2 linked regions of the Oreochromis niloticus genome follow. The protein of the gene in region 2 purifies or fractionates together with the protein of the main gene of each other region. This does not show direct contact. Links are inferred from orthologs where the notes say so. Each region holds a gene or a part of one and is shown on either strand. Other genes may lie near its edges. The genes, in order: nifk and ddx24.

What was found.
Region 1: the proteins of ddx24 (region 2) and nifk purify together in Homo sapiens (affinity purification with mass spectrometry; 3 studies listed by BioGRID and IntAct, counting the BioPlex papers as one, with this or other methods). This does not show direct contact. The link is inferred for Oreochromis niloticus from reciprocal best matches to the Homo sapiens genes DDX24 and NIFK.

The regions. Positions count from the first base shown.
Region 1 is NC_031987.2:8,321,464-8,329,004, reverse strand, and holds the start of nifk (MKI67 FHA domain-interacting nucleolar phosphoprotein), read right to left. Parts: upstream 3,248-7,541; 5' UTR 3,132-3,247; coding exon 3,009-3,131; intron 2,398-3,008; coding exon 2,269-2,397; intron 1,729-2,268; exon of another isoform or gene 1,598-1,728; intron 1,524-1,597; coding exon 1,415-1,523; intron 1,304-1,414; coding exon 1,092-1,303; intron 102-1,091; coding exon 39-101; intron 3-38; exon of another isoform or gene 1-2. Other genes in the region: high affinity cGMP-specific 3',5'-cyclic phosphodiesterase 9A, read left to right, coding at 6,383-6,470, 7,536-7,541.
Region 2 is NC_031983.2:11,422,625-11,430,354, reverse strand, and holds the start of ddx24 (ATP-dependent RNA helicase DDX24), read right to left. Parts: upstream 3,295-7,730; 5' UTR 3,155-3,294; intron 2,959-3,154; 5' UTR 2,955-2,958; coding exon 2,087-2,954; intron 2,002-2,086; coding exon 1,579-2,001; intron 1,488-1,578; coding exon 1,334-1,487; intron 596-1,333; coding exon 83-595; intron 1-82. Other genes in the region: serpina10b (protein Z-dependent protease inhibitor), read right to left, coding at 4,617-4,808, 4,902-5,049, 5,211-5,484, 5,620-6,220. UniProt on the Homo sapiens protein: ATP-dependent RNA helicase that plays a role in various aspects of RNA metabolism including pre-mRNA splicing and is thereby involved in different biological processes such as cell cycle regulation or innate immunity.

The sequences.
Region 1 (7,541 bases), on a different chromosome or scaffold from region 2:
GCGCCCGACATAAAACCAAACACAATAACCAGACTTACGTCAGTGCACGAAGACACGTTGCCAGCATCGGATGACGACTTCTTCTTAGGAACCTGAGCCGCCTGAAGAGCACAGAGAGCAGTGAAGTTTGTGAGACCTCGAAAAGAACAATCTCAAAACAAAAAAAGATATTCCCGTTTTTGTGACCAAGTAAGTAAGTAAGTAAACTTTATTTATTAAGCGCTTTTCACAGACAGTCAAAGCGCTGTACACAAATATTAAAATAAACAATAAAATCAATAGACATTATACACAATGTAAAAGATCAAATATAAATAATGTAAAAAAATATATATATAAAATACATAGATCAACAAAAGGCTTGTTTGAACAGAAAAGTTTTTAACTGTTTTTTAAAAGAATCCACAGAGTCAACCAAGCCGAGTTGACACCGATCTAACAGTCTAACGGTCCTGGACTGCACACAGTATCTGAGGCCTGAGGTTAAAGAGAATCTGCTTTGACTTTCTGGACTGTTGCTCAGACAGAATAAAGAGTATGAAGACACTGATCATAGTTTTCACTGTTTATTGTGCAGGGTTTCTACTGCAAGTCCCAGCAGCCCGCAGGCTTAAATCGCAGCACATCACAGGATTTCATATTTTGAAAGCCTTTTTTCTAAAGCTACAAACAACCATGAGTTTAGTTTGTGGCATTTATATTTGAAGTGGGGAGATTCCTGCAGGGAATGACTCGTAAGAAAGCATGAGGGTAAAAGTGTGCATGGCTTCATTAAATAATCTAAAGTTTCTGTAAATAACCAGATGATTTTCAGGGGGACAGGTGGGAACGTTTTTCCAGATTCAGTTGAATTTATATGGAATCAGCAATATTCCAAATTGCTGTTATCAGCCTGTAATTCTCTGAAAATCCTTTTTTGTAAAAACTGAAGCTTCTGAACAGATCACAGCTGCACGCTGTTTGGAATTTAGTTGCAAGAAATCCATTAATTAAATCAGACGCCTTTAAATATGCTGCCATGTCACGGCACACTTCCAATTTTTAAAACCTAAACCCGTTTAAAGTTTCCGCTCCAGCGTGTAAACACTTACGAATCCGGGGAATTCGTACTCGATGCCGTATGCGGCGATCCTCTTTCGGAGCCTTGACTCTTTGCGCAGCAGCTTGCCGGTCATTTTTGCAATTTCCTCCTCCGTGTGCTTCTTGTTGTAACGCGTTACTGCGGGATACGTCGGCTTTTTGAACCCTCGCTCCGAGCCAACAAACAGCTTCTCGTGCACCTTCTCGGGAGGAAACACCTGACCTGGGAGAAAACATTTTTTTTTATAAATTTAAATAAACATCAGCTAGGAACTACGACCTTTACAGGAAAACTTCCTGTGAATCAGGATCTAAAAGGTGAACTCTGACTTACATTTGATAAGTCTCTCTCCCATCAGGTAATTATTCATCGTCTCTGCAACAATCTTCGCCACTTCATCGCAGTCAAACTCGATGAAAGCGTAACCTTTGCTGTTACCAGTCTGCAAACAAACAGAGAGAGGAATAAAGTGACAGTCACAGATTCTGCCCTCCAGATGTTTTCATTCCCTCCAGTGTTTGTTGGCACATGGGTTTTATCACTCTGATAACAGGCAGAGCAGGTGATAAGCTTAATGTACCAGAGTACTCTAGGCTCAGTTATCTGACCTCAGACGACTTTTACATCTGAGATCATTTTCAGTCTCAGCCAAAACTCCAGATTTTAAGAAGTGGAGCTTCAAACAGGCTCCTGCCTGGACTTCTTAAACCAAAATAAAGGAATCTAAATGTTTGCAGAGAGTGTGCTGGTTTCAAGAATGGCGATCAAGAAGTTCCTCAACTGCTCCTGCTGAACACGGAGCTGTTGGGAGTCAGTTTTATTACTTTGTTACTGCTTTCAGGAGACAAATCCATGCAACTTTTTACCAAGTTATAGTTCAAAGGTCATTTTTTGCTTTGATGCAACATGTGGGCTCCTTTTCTGGTGAGTTATACCCAAGATTTTTATCTGGAAGTTTCTGTTCTGGCTATGAGGCCTCAAACCACACAGTCTAAAATCAGCCTCTCAGTGACTCTAAAGTTTTATCCAAAAAAAAAAAAAAAAAAAAAAAAAAAAAAAAGACTCCAAGTGAAGTTTGAAGGAAGTGATACATCACTGCAGGAGCTGTGAAAGTTTTACAGATGCAGTTGAAGATTCTGATTGCGCCTCACACATTCACACGTTTGTTTCCACATGTTCAGGGTTACCTTCTTACTGCGGGACAGCCGCAGCCGCAGGATCTTCCCAAACTGACCGAAGTAAGATTTGAGCTGAGGCTCCACCAGGTTTCGGGGCAAGTGGCTGACGTAAATCACTCCTGGGGTCAGGCGGTTCGCCTGTGATGGGGAAAAGACAGATCACGACATTACACAGAGAACTGGGCCTTCACCTGTGATCAGATTGTAATACGATATAATGCACAGACTAAATTACGAAAAACAAAATGCGATACTATAAAGATTTATTTTTCCCAGACCGGCTTTTAAAAAGTCTACAAAATAAAAGTACAAAATAAATACAATTTATATATATTAAACATACAGATGTTCACCTCATTTACAGATTTTCTTGTTTAAATATCAGTTTACATTCAGTTTGGTCACATTTCTTTGGGGCCAGTTCTCTCCATTTCTTTACTATAATAAAATTAATCTTTCTCTCAGTCCGTAAACTTAATAATTTGAGACAGGATGTCATTTTTTCTTCTTTTTTTTTTAAAAAAACGGGCCTGCCTTACATCTGTAAACCTGAGTAAATATGCTGCACGTGGGCCGACTGACAGAGTAACGACCACGAGCCTATAAAGGTTTGACGGCACCTGAACCTGAGTTAAACACAGACTACAGAGAGAGACATCAGCAGTCTGAGAGTAAAGTCAGCGACAGTAAACAGGAGGAAAATAACTGCAGACTATCGGGTCTCCTTCAGGGCCACATGTTTCACCCACCTTGCCTGATTTCTTCTTCTTCACCTCCTGAACCTTCTTCCTGAACTCGGACTCCTGTGCAGGATTCAGCGCCAGCAGCTCTTTGGCCGCAGCAGGAGCCGCTTCGGCGCCACTTTCACTCATTTTTCGCTGCTGGAAGCTACAAACGCCACATAAACTGAGACAAACACTCACTTAGCCGTCCAAAAACCACGATGCTGCTGCTGATAATGACCCACATCCGGCTGCACATGCGCTGAACACCAACGAGTGACGGAGAAACGCGTCACGTCTGCAGCTCCGCGCTCTGTGCAGCGACACCTACAGGCGCGGAGGTGAGTTTGTTAGTCGGTTTCGTCTACATTAACTATTTTCACGCTCAAAAAAGAAAGAGAAAAAAAACTCAGTAAAAATGAAGCAATGTTTTAATTAAAGGAAAGTGAAATTAAAAAAAACAAAGGTTTATTTATTATTATTGTTCCTCTTTAAGAATATTTAACCCTCTACTGCATGACTTTTTAATTTTTTGGGAAAAAAATATTTCTCCCTATTTTGGGGGAGCTTTAGGGTCCCTAATAATATATCAATCATAAAATTTGACACCCTGCCCCCCCCCCAAACAGATATTGGTTTGTTGCTTCAAGTTCAAGGCAACACTGTGTGACAAGGGTAGTCAAACACCAAGTTATTCTATAATAAGTTTTATTAGTACAACAAGGATGAACAAATAAATAAACAACAAAAAAACAATGTAAACATTTCACAGAACAATAAAACACCAAAATACATCCAACATTTGACCCTAACCCCATGCACACACACACACACATGTTGTATTTCCATCACTTTTGGGGACATTACATTAACTTACATTCATTTCCTGGAGACTTATCCTGACCCTACCCATCACAAGTCCCTGCCTGAACCTTACCCTAACCCTGACTCAAGCCTTCACCCTAAAATTGAATGATTTACCTTGCTATTTGTCCCCATAAAGTAGGCAAGACCTCACAATGTGAGTGTGTAAACAAATTTGTGTCCACACAACAATAAGTAATACACGACCACACACACACACACACTAACACACACACAGACACAGTTACTTTACCAACTGACCCCTGAGCTCCTAAGTGTCTCTCAAACCTGATTCAGGGATCCACTCCTCTACTTCACTGTCACTCCCTGAAAGCTCACTGTCCTCACTTTCTGAGGACAGAAAGTGCTCATTCCCTTGGTTTCCTTCCATAAATGGTTTTTACATCCATGTCTTGTAATTATAAGAAGATTGTAAAGTAAAAAACATTGACTATGATCATATAAATGCACACAAACACATCTCTACACACATATTCAAATGCATTATATTGCCTGAAAAAAAATAGGCTAACTGCACAGTGTTGCCTTGAGGCAACGAAGGGAAAGAGGGAAAATTTTCCTGGTATATTTGTATACCAATCAACTACATTTAATTTGACCATATTCATTTAAATTCAACATTTTACTTTGTATTTATTTAACAAAAAAAATGGAAAACTTTGCAAGTAATTGGATTAAAGTCAGAATTTTCAGCTAAATCTTTTTTTTTTTAGTGTATTCTTCTTCTTCTTCTTCTTCTTCTTCTTCTTCTTACAGGGGCGATCGTGGCTCAAGAGTTGGCAGTTCGTCTTGTAATCGGAAGGTTGCCAGTTCGAGCCCCGGCTCCGACAGTCTCGGTCGTTGTGTCCTTGTGCAAGACACTTCACCCGTTGCCTACTGGTGGTGGTGCCCGGTGGCGCCAGTGTCTGGCAGCCTCGCCTCTGTCAGTGCGCCCCAGGGCAGCTGTGGCTACAATGTAGCTTGCCATCACCTGTGTGTGAATGACTGAATGTAGTGTAAAGCGCTTACAAATACATGTTGATTTCCCCCAAATATAGCTGATACTACTACTAATGATGATGATAATTATCATCAAAATTTTCTCATAATAATAATAATAATTATTATTATTATCATTATTATTATTATTATCATTATTATTATTATAGCTGATACTACTACTACTACTAATGATGATGATAATTATTAGTAGTAGTAGTATAAGCTATATTTGGGGGGAAATCAACATCACATTTTCTTATATGATTATCACTTCTTATGTCTCACCTGGCTGTATGCATCTTTACCTCTAAAGTTTGAGAACCACTACATTTCTATTCATAAGAAACATCTCATAACAATTTTAATTATGATAAAAATTCCTGCTTCAAACACCAATCCTAAGAATGGAAATAATAAAAATGTGTAAAACTGAAAAAAGTAATTGTGTAAGCATCATATTTTATTTTATAAGGTTTCATACATTTTGGTGCAAAGTCTTAAATTACAAAAAAGATAAATATTTCAAGGAAAGAAAAACACATTTGTGCAAAAACTGAAAATTTGAATAAATTTGAAAACAAATGCAATAAATAAATAAATACATAAAAATGAAATATATTGAAATGAAAATGAAAGAAAACTTAAAACTGTGGAGAATAAAAGCAAAAATACAAAACTCTGAACTAAAAATATATAAAAGTCAAATTTTAAACAACAAACAAAAATAAACACATATAAAAGTTTTCACATTTAGAAAAAAAAATGGCCATTTTAGGATTAAAGTTGAAATTTCGACATTAAATTTAATTAGTATTTTGAGAAAAAAAAAGTCTAAATGTGGAGATTGTGGTTGTTGTTTCAAACCAAAGGACTGCCATGGCTCCTATACCTTCTATAAAATTCTTAACATGATCTTAATACTGTTTCATAGCATGTGACTACTACTGTATGTACACAGCATCACAGCATAGGGGAACCCTGTAAAGGCTGAACATGTGCCCTAACAAATGAGCCGCAAAAAGCTGATATCTGATCACATGTAAGCTTTATATTACTTCAGTCAGATTTAAAAGTATTGTCTCCAGAGAAACCGTAACTCACTCTGAGGTCGAGTTCAACTTTGACCCTTTGAGTTAAAAAGCAACAACGTGCACTAAACAGCAGGTTCGCTACAGCACTTAAATCACAGCCAAAAACACTCTCATTGGTTATCTCATTCTCAGTTTGGCTCTATAAAGACCATTCTCTCTTTCTTGTACACCATGTTCACCTCTGTGCCCTTAATTTGTCACCCACAATTTGAGAACCACTACTGTAATCACTTAAAAAACACCATCATAACCTTTGTAATTGTTATAAAAATCTAAATTTCAGGTGAATACAGTTGGCTGTTGCTCGGAGAAATGTTGGAGTCAAAGGCAGGGAAGGAGGAGGAGCTTAGGAGGAGGTGGAGAGGGGGTGGAGTGGAGAGGAGATAGACATCAGAGCCAGTTCAGCAGTGCACACAGCAGCATCAGTGGGTTTAGATTCATGACATGGAAACAAAAGTCATCTACTTCACGGTGAACGGGAGACCGGAGCAGGCGGAGTTCCCGGTCGACTGTCCGACTCAGGACGTCAAAGGTAGGAGCCAAAGCTGAAGTTTATGTTTCATATGATCAAATGCATTCTAACGTGTTGTTTTGGACAAATGAATTAAAGTGGAATATTCTTATGCTTAGAGTTCAGGAAATACTCTTCTGTGACTAAAATCAATAAAGCAAATTTGATAAATGGAGCAACATAAGACAAAGCAGTCTTTGCTGCAAATACAGCTGCCACTGACAGCTCCTCACCTCTCACAGCAGCTTCAGCCTTTGGCATCATGGTCTCCACGCACATTACATACTGCAGATCTTACTCATTAGAACAATGCTGTAACTGCAAGCAGTGTTCTTACTTAATTTAGATGACTGCATTTAACTTCTATTGTACTAGTCGTTGAAGTTTACTTTCCTATATTGAATTATCTGAACATTGTACCTGCATAGTTGTAAACACTCGTTCCACTTAATTTGTGCTTGATTTTTCTAAACAGTTCTGCAGTGGGAAGCTCAGATTCGAGGCACTGTCAAAAATGTTTACCTTTACATCGGTTGCGGGTTGTTTCTCTTGGATCAGTGACCATGACATCAAAATCTGTACAAAGAATACATAAAAATGTAGTAAAAATGCATTCAAATCCCCTAAAAACAAAAGATCAAATAAAACACAAAGTCTTTCTTTAGGACTTCTTTCATAGAAATGAGTTTTTGCCAAGTTACAATTAAAAGTATCAAAGGCTTTGAATGTGCTGAAGATGGCCCAGAGGAAAAGGATGTTGATTATCAACTGGAAAACTTGGATCACACCTTGGATACTGAGAACTTTACAAATATGAAGTGAAACGCACAGAAATTGTATCAATAACCTAAAGAAAACAAAGAAATCAATAAAGAAATAAAGAAATCAATAACCTAAAGAAAACAAAATGCAAGAAAACTTTCAAAATAGCTCAGATTAGACAAAAAATCTAACTCTAAATTAAATGATTCATATCAAAGTTGGTTAGTAATGTGGATGTGGTTATATATATCTGTTCATTTGAATCACAATTCCTGGACTTCCTCAGGTGATTCTTTAAAATAAACCTCAAGCTGGTCTTTCTAGATCTCT
Region 2 (7,730 bases):
AGATGTCACCAGTGGCACACAGTTACTGGATAAATGCTGAAGGCAACTTGATGTTGCTACTGCAAATGTGTGCACAACTCACTTCTCCCTCTCAGCGAACCTCTCCAGGTTTTTCAGCCGTTGTTTCTGGTGCATGTTGGCATGTAGAGGCAGTGGTGTACAGTCTAGTATAACCAGCAGAGAATTCAGCCTCTTTATACAGTCAATACTGTTGGCAAACACCATGGTGCGCCCAGGATACTGGAGCAGGAAGTAATAGAGGTAGAAGTCCTTCTCATCTTTCTGACAGTGGATCTGAGTCTCAATCAGTGTCTCCACAGTTGCCTCCTTCCTGGTGAGGTCAACGACTTTGGGCTTGGACTTAATCCCCACTTTCTCCATAAGAATTTCCAGCTTGTTCCTCTGGTCCAGATTCTTCTTCTTCTTTTGAAGGAGGCGAGTGGGAAGGCTGTGAACCATCGTCAAAGTGGCAGAGAACACAAAAGTTTGCCTAGTGGGATTGAAGTGTGTCGTATTTAGCATTTCCAGCAAATTCTCCAGCTCGGCAAAATGCCCTCTTTCTACCATGCGATCGGCTTCATCAATGACCAGGCACCTGTGTCATAAGAAGAAGAGGAATTAAGAAAGGATAACAAAAATCTAACAAATAGGCCTGCCTGAAAGACTTTATCACAGAACACCGAATCACTGATCTATTGCTCAAGGCTCTTTCACACATGATATGATTTGAGGGTTAAAATCAGTGTCAGTAATCGGGTGAAGGAAAAAAAAAAACCTTATTGTGGTATTGTGATATTTTGTGTGGCGATATTGTATTGATACAGGAACACCAAATATTAATATTTTATTAAATACATTAAAATACTCTGGGAAAACTTTGAAAAGAGGGCTCGATTCACTTGATAGGAGGCACCCTTCCTACTAACAGGTGTAGTCTGATTTGGACTGACTGCAATCACTCTGCAAATAATTGTTATCTAATATATGAAACCAGACAGATAGCCAACATGTTTCCATGAGTCTGAATGAGTCTTTCTCAATGTGCACAGTTCATCAACTGGCTGCCAGCTGGTTCTATTTTGGGTATATTCTTATAAAACAGGAAGGTTGATGAGCGCAAGTTAAATGTTAGTAAAATAAAGTAAAATAAAACATATATTTAACTTTAGGAAATAACTTGCAGTTTAAAAAAGGTGACATATTTTATTGGAATACTCAGCATATCACAAAATAATAAAAATCATGATAATATCATATCATAAGTGAAGCGCTGTGATAATATTGTATCGATTACCACCTCTAGCAAATAAGTCAGTCTTAAATTAAGACTCACCTGAGCTGCCTGAGGTTGACCAGATGTGGGTGCCTCTCCTTGATCAAATCCCACAAACGCCCCGGAGTTGCTATGATGATCTCTGGCCTGCGTTTCAGCACTCGTCTTTGTTTCTGCTGTGCCATTCCACCCACCACTAAGGCTGTTTTTATATCTGCACAGCAGGAAAACATTAGCTATGCTGACATTTATAGATCTCTTAGAAGAAAACTGCTATCGTAATACTCTGATGAGCTATGACTTACCTGTGAATTTTGCGACAGCATCAATATGATGTTTGACCTGAACAGCCAGCTCCCTGGTGGGAGTGAGGACCAGTCCTAAGAGGGGTCGACTCTGAGCACCAGCGGGTTTTTCATCAAAATCAAAGTCTGCATTCTTGATTACCCGAACACATCCAAGCTGTTCATCTTCTACATCGCTGTGTTCATCTTCATCCGAGTCTCCTTGATTCTGATCCTCAGCATCTTCATCGTTTTCTTTAGAAGCCTCCACTCCCTCCTCTTGGTCCTCTTCAGCTGATTTTGTGTACTCATCTACAGATGGTAAGTACAAACTCTCCACCTTTGTGACTGGTTCAGCGTCATCATTAGGTTTTTCTGGGCTATGCTTCCACTCCAGGATGGTATGGATTATGGGAATGCCGAAAGCCAGTGTCTTGCCACTTCCTGTAAGTACAACATCCGTATTAGCTTCACTTTTAAAAATCTGTGAACAGAACATTACACTATAAACCTATCACTTTTATCTTACCAGTTTCAGCTGCTCCCAGTATATCCATACGATCCCTGATAGCTGGAGGCAAACACAGGGCTTGGATCGGTGTCGGTGAACCAAATCCAAGACTGCTCAGTGCCCTCAGGACAGGTGGGGGGACAAACAGGTCCTTCCATGCACTCATGTCAACATTTTTGTCTTCAGAACCAGAAAGTGCAGCGTTTGTCCAATTCTTTGCCTTCTTGTGTGGGGCCTTTGTCACTTTATTTTGACCGGATTTTTCTTTTTCCAGATCTGATGAAGACTCTGGGTTTGGCTGTTCTTCTGGGACTGTATCCTTCACTGTCTGCTGCCCTTTCCCCTTTTTCTTCTTCTTCCTGCTCCTCTTTGTATCTTTGGGATCAGCAGTGATGGCTGCAGAATCATTTTCATCGCCCTCACCTGATACCTCATCCTCTCCTCCCTGCTCAGTGGCAGCATTATCCTTCTGCTTTACGTCTTCTGCAGAAATATTTTCCGACTCCTTTGCAATGCCTTTCTTGTTTTTCCTCTTCTTCTTGGCTTTTTTCTTCGCTGGCTCACTTGTGCTCTCCCCCTCTTTGATCCCCGAGTCTCCTTTCTCTCCAGCCTCCTCGCCGTCACCAGCTTTTCTTTTCTGTGCTTTCTTCTTCTTCTCCCTTTTCAGCTCTTTTGCTGCTTTGGCCGCAGCCTGCTCACTGTTTATTAAACGGTAATCCGTGAGCTCTTCGAAACACACCAGACCCTCCAAGCCCTCCTCGGAGAAGACGCTGGGATCGAGGTCTATGGTTTTCCATTTGCCTTTCATGTCGATGCAACGTTTCGCTGGCTTCCCCAGCCCGGTGGACATGCCTTTGTTTTTCGCCTTCATCTTCTTTGTCTTCATTTTTCTGAAAAAAAGTAAAGGTGTAAAATAAGTGACTTTAGCCGACCTCGTGAAGTTCCTAACGTTTAGTTGTTAAAAGCACACGTGCACCCCACGTTTCTTAACGCCAGCGGACAACTATTAACCGATAATTAACAGAAACTAAGCGTACAAAGTCTACAGTAAACTACTAGTTGAATTAATGAGTACTAAAGTCTTACCTGGACTGAGTGTAGGCTCTCTTAGACTTCTGCTACGATTACATCAACGCGAGACACGAGGGCGCAGCCATGACAGTGTTGATCACGTGGTTTGAAAAACTTTATTTAAACAACAGGCGCTGTTTCAATTTCTCTGGTCATTTTAACCCCTTATACCGCCTACATAAACGTTTATAAAAATTTAATAAACGTTTAAATAATACCCGAGGATGTCAAGGGTTTTAGTTTATCAGCTTTCATTTTAAGGATAATACGCTGTAATTTCTTAAGGTGTATTGAAGTTTGTGCCGAGGGAGTTGCTTCACTACAGTAGTATTTATTATTAGTAGCAAATATAATTAAAATTATTTTTTAATGAAGGTTGTACCTGACAAACTAGCATATAATCTAGTACATAAATAAATAAACGCATTTGTGGAAAACAAAGTTTTCATTGGGCTCTCTGCCGTCCTGTAAAATAAAATAAAATAAAATAAAACAACTACACCCTTATGTTTCAGGAGCTTGCGGAACCACCTTTAACGGCGTATAACTGAAGTAATCGCTTGTTGTGTGACTCTCTGGGAGTCTCCCACATCATTGTTTAAGAATTTTAGCCCACTCTTGCTTCAGTTCTTGAAGGTTGCAGGCATTCATTTATGCACAGCTCTCTTAACGTCCTGCCACAGCATTTCAGTCGGGTTGAGGTCTGGACTTTGACTGGATCACTGAGTCAACATCTTGATTCTTTCCTTCTTCAGCCAGTCTGTTGTAGCTTTGCCCAAACCTGCGATGTTCTGTTTCATTACACAATGAAATTTGATCATTTGACTCACTTGTATACAAAGAGTTCACCTATGACTCAATGACCACAAAATGCCAAAAGTCCTTTGGTATGATATGTTGTGTTTGGTTTTCACAAAACATGGCGTTGTGCATTGTGCACTTTGGTCTCATCTGTCTGGTTTTCTTAGATGCAACTTTGAAAACTTTAGCCATGCTGTTTGATTGTACTGTCATGAACATTGTTTAACATGCAAACTGAGACTTGTAGAGTAGGTGGTGTGTGTGTGTGTGTGTGTGATCAGGTAAATTAAATAAATTTGACTAGAGTTCCTCTTTTTAAAATTACTGTAAGCAAAATCTTTAAGGCAAAAGAAAACTGTTTCTTTACAATTATTATAGTCAGCCGGTAGCATCAGTTTAATAACCTGATAAGATGTGCATTATTAGAACGTGGTACTGATGTTTTGTTTAATTTGTCGATTAAGTGATTACATTTATGCTGGTTGTCATAATTTGGAGATGTACGTACATTTAAAAGATCCAAGTTTGTGATGCAGGTGAAGTTTTTATTATTATTGGTGAAGTATGTTGTAGGAACAGAACAGAAAAAAAAAGCTTTAAACTGTCTGGGATTAAAACATCCACCAAATTAGTCATGTAGAAGCCACTTAAGAATGAACACATTACAGTGGCAAAACTATTTGTTGGTGGGGTCAATCACCCTCCCCATGAACAGCAGGCAGTTTGTGTTTTCATGGTATATGAAGAAGAAGAAGGGTCTGTTTATAGTGAAGGTCCTCGGCAGGGAGTATGGAATGATACCCATTGTTGTGGCAGCTGCTGCAGTTGTTCCTGTCTCATCCACGTCAATCATGGCCTTGTGAAGCACCTACAATTTCACAGCAAGGTTAAAAGTGTTTTGCTGCACTATTTGGCGAACAGGCACATATGTTGCTACATGACAGTGAAAGTGACAACTAACCTCTGACAGCTTGAGCCCTTTGTCCTCACTGAGCTTTGTCAAATTGGACAAATTACTAAAGACACTGGTCATGCCCATATGCGGTAGAAGATTATGGAGGGAATACGACTGCTCCATGTTGAATTTGGGCATCTTGACTTCCAGTTTCCTGCAAACAAGACATGAGTTGACATGTTGAATAGACTGGCTCATCTGCTGCTGCAGGCATTGTTTTATGGTCATTTACACTTTTGTTAACCGTTGCTTTTTACAGCTAAACAACAAAATATGCAGACTCTTGGTTAAAGCGAGGCATTTTTCCTCACATACATTTTTCTCAGTTTTGCGATCCAGCTCTGAAACCTCTCTGCAGTAATCTCATCATCCACCATAGTGTAGTCCATGTCTGGGTTGGGGAGCAGGATAAGCATGGAAACACCCTCTTGGTATGGCAGTTTCAGCACTTTGGCTCTCAGAGAAACATCTTCTGCAGTGTAGTACTTGTCTTCTTTAAACATCATAGGCACCTGCACAATATTATAATTATCGATGTAGAAGGGTCCATTTCGAGTGAAATTGGAGTTGAAAGGCATCTTCCAGGCTCCTGTGGAGGAGGTAATATTGTACGTTTAGTTATAAACAAAACAGTTCATAGGTGCAGACATGAATATTAGTATAATTAATAGCACATAAACCCATAAACCCAATATCTAAAGTGTGCAAAAAAGATTTAATTTACCTTGAAAGAAAATTGCATTCATTAACAGGAGTTTGGTCTGTTCGTCCAAGGCTGAAATCATCTCTGTAATCTTGCCTTCAGTCTTGTCCCTAATGTACTCATTAATTACTCTGATACTCTCTGTTGTGTCCGCAAAGTCAACAGTTTTGATATCTGCATTAAAAAACTTATTGATTTTGGTTTCAAACTCCCTCTCTATGATAAATTGGGGTTGGATAAACAAGGCCATGCTATGATCAAATTTCAGCGATCCATTTTGCGTGACGTTCTCGTGAAGGAGTTGAAACAGTTTAGGGATAAGATCCGGCTGGTCAGCCCTCTCCAGCGCCTCCAGGTTTAGTACCTTCAGGATCTCCTTGTGTGTGACACCATCAGAAGCCATTAGAAGAGCCGCAAAACTGGTAGAGATACTCAGGGGGGAAAAAAAGATGTTCTTGTCATGGTAACTGGATATCTTTCTGTAAAGGTTCATGGCAAAGTCCATATTTTTGAAGGAGAGATCTGAGATGGTGGCACTGTTAGGTCCAGCTTGGTGGATAGGAGTCAGAAAGCACAGGAGGGCCACAAAGAAAAAACAGGCCATCTTCATTTTGTTTAACATCAAAATTAGAACCTAGAAAGTTTTGCGTGCACACCCAGAAACGAGAAATTAAAAACAAAAAGCACCACTGTACAGCAGCACAATCACTAAATCTACAAAAAATATAAGATTACACCAACTGAATACTTATTTCTGCATTATACTTAGAAAACGCTCTGAAATTTTGTATTTAAGTTTAACAAAATAACACCACGTACCTTTCAGCTTGGCCCAGATTGTGCCTGAAATTTCTCTGTATTTTTTGGGGGGAACAAAGTGCAAGTGTGCTCTACATGTTACACATTAACCACAAAAAACGTATTCAGAGGTGAATCCATAAGAATCAATCGATAAGTAAATGAGACACGAGAAGCATTGGGAGTGAATTTCACTTTAATCCTGGAACGAGAACCAATATATTAAACAAAAGAATGTGCTGTTCTAACATGAAGTATAACAAAAATAATGAATTTAAGAACACAGTGAATAAAATAATAATAAAAAACCCCCCAACTACCAACATTTTCTAATTTTTCACAAGTGCATTTTAAATAGAAAAAAAAAATAGCAGATCCAAAGGAAACAGAACAGCAACAAAATCTTGGAATCTTCTTAAAAATCATCCAGCACAATAAGCCAAACTTTGCATGACATCCAACATGTTAGTGAAGGCATCAAGACACATTTGCGCTGAATGGTCAGTTCAATGTTCTGAATGAATGTAAAGTGTTTTAATGCTGTAGTTTGGTGTAGTCACGAGGACAGATTCTCACTTTCAGGACATTACGGTCCTGTAGAGAAAAATAAGTGAGAATAAGTCAAATCAACCACTTCGTCAAAGGGTAGGTGATGTGACACATTTGTTTTTTTTTTTCCATTTTCAAGGTCATAATCAGCAAATAAATGAAACCAATGAATCTTTGATTTTCTAACGTGTGCCCCCCCCCCAACCCCCCAACCCCCCAAAGACCAAAAAAAAAAAAAAGAAAAGAAACCAAAACAAGTCTGGAAATGCCAGAATTTTGGCTTGTGTGATCATACACTGCTGGAACTACTCATGTTTACATGATGCTTCTTTGTTCCCCACTTATTCTGGACAAAAATAAGAAAAAACAATGCATCAGTGATAAGCAATTTAAATTCAGCAAAAAGTCCTACACAATTTTTTTTCATCAATCTGATCAAAAAGGACAAGACACCCTTAAATTGTGTCTGTAAGCCTTGCCTAATCATACGTTTCATTATGCCTACATGCATACTTATAAGTAATAAAGCCACGACATCCAAAATATGCAGCTCTCTAAATGCCTGGGGAGACCACCTGTAGACTGTCATGTATTGAGGTTGATGATGTAAAGAATAAATAACCCACAGATGTTAATGCTAGTAAAAGTTTTAAGAAGGATCTTTTATTCTGGTAATGTGCACGTTTCTTTTTTCCACATTATCACATTTTGTTCTACACACACAAGTCTACTATAAAAGCAGGACTCACTGTCATTGGCCCCCTTTTTAGAACACCTCTTCTTTT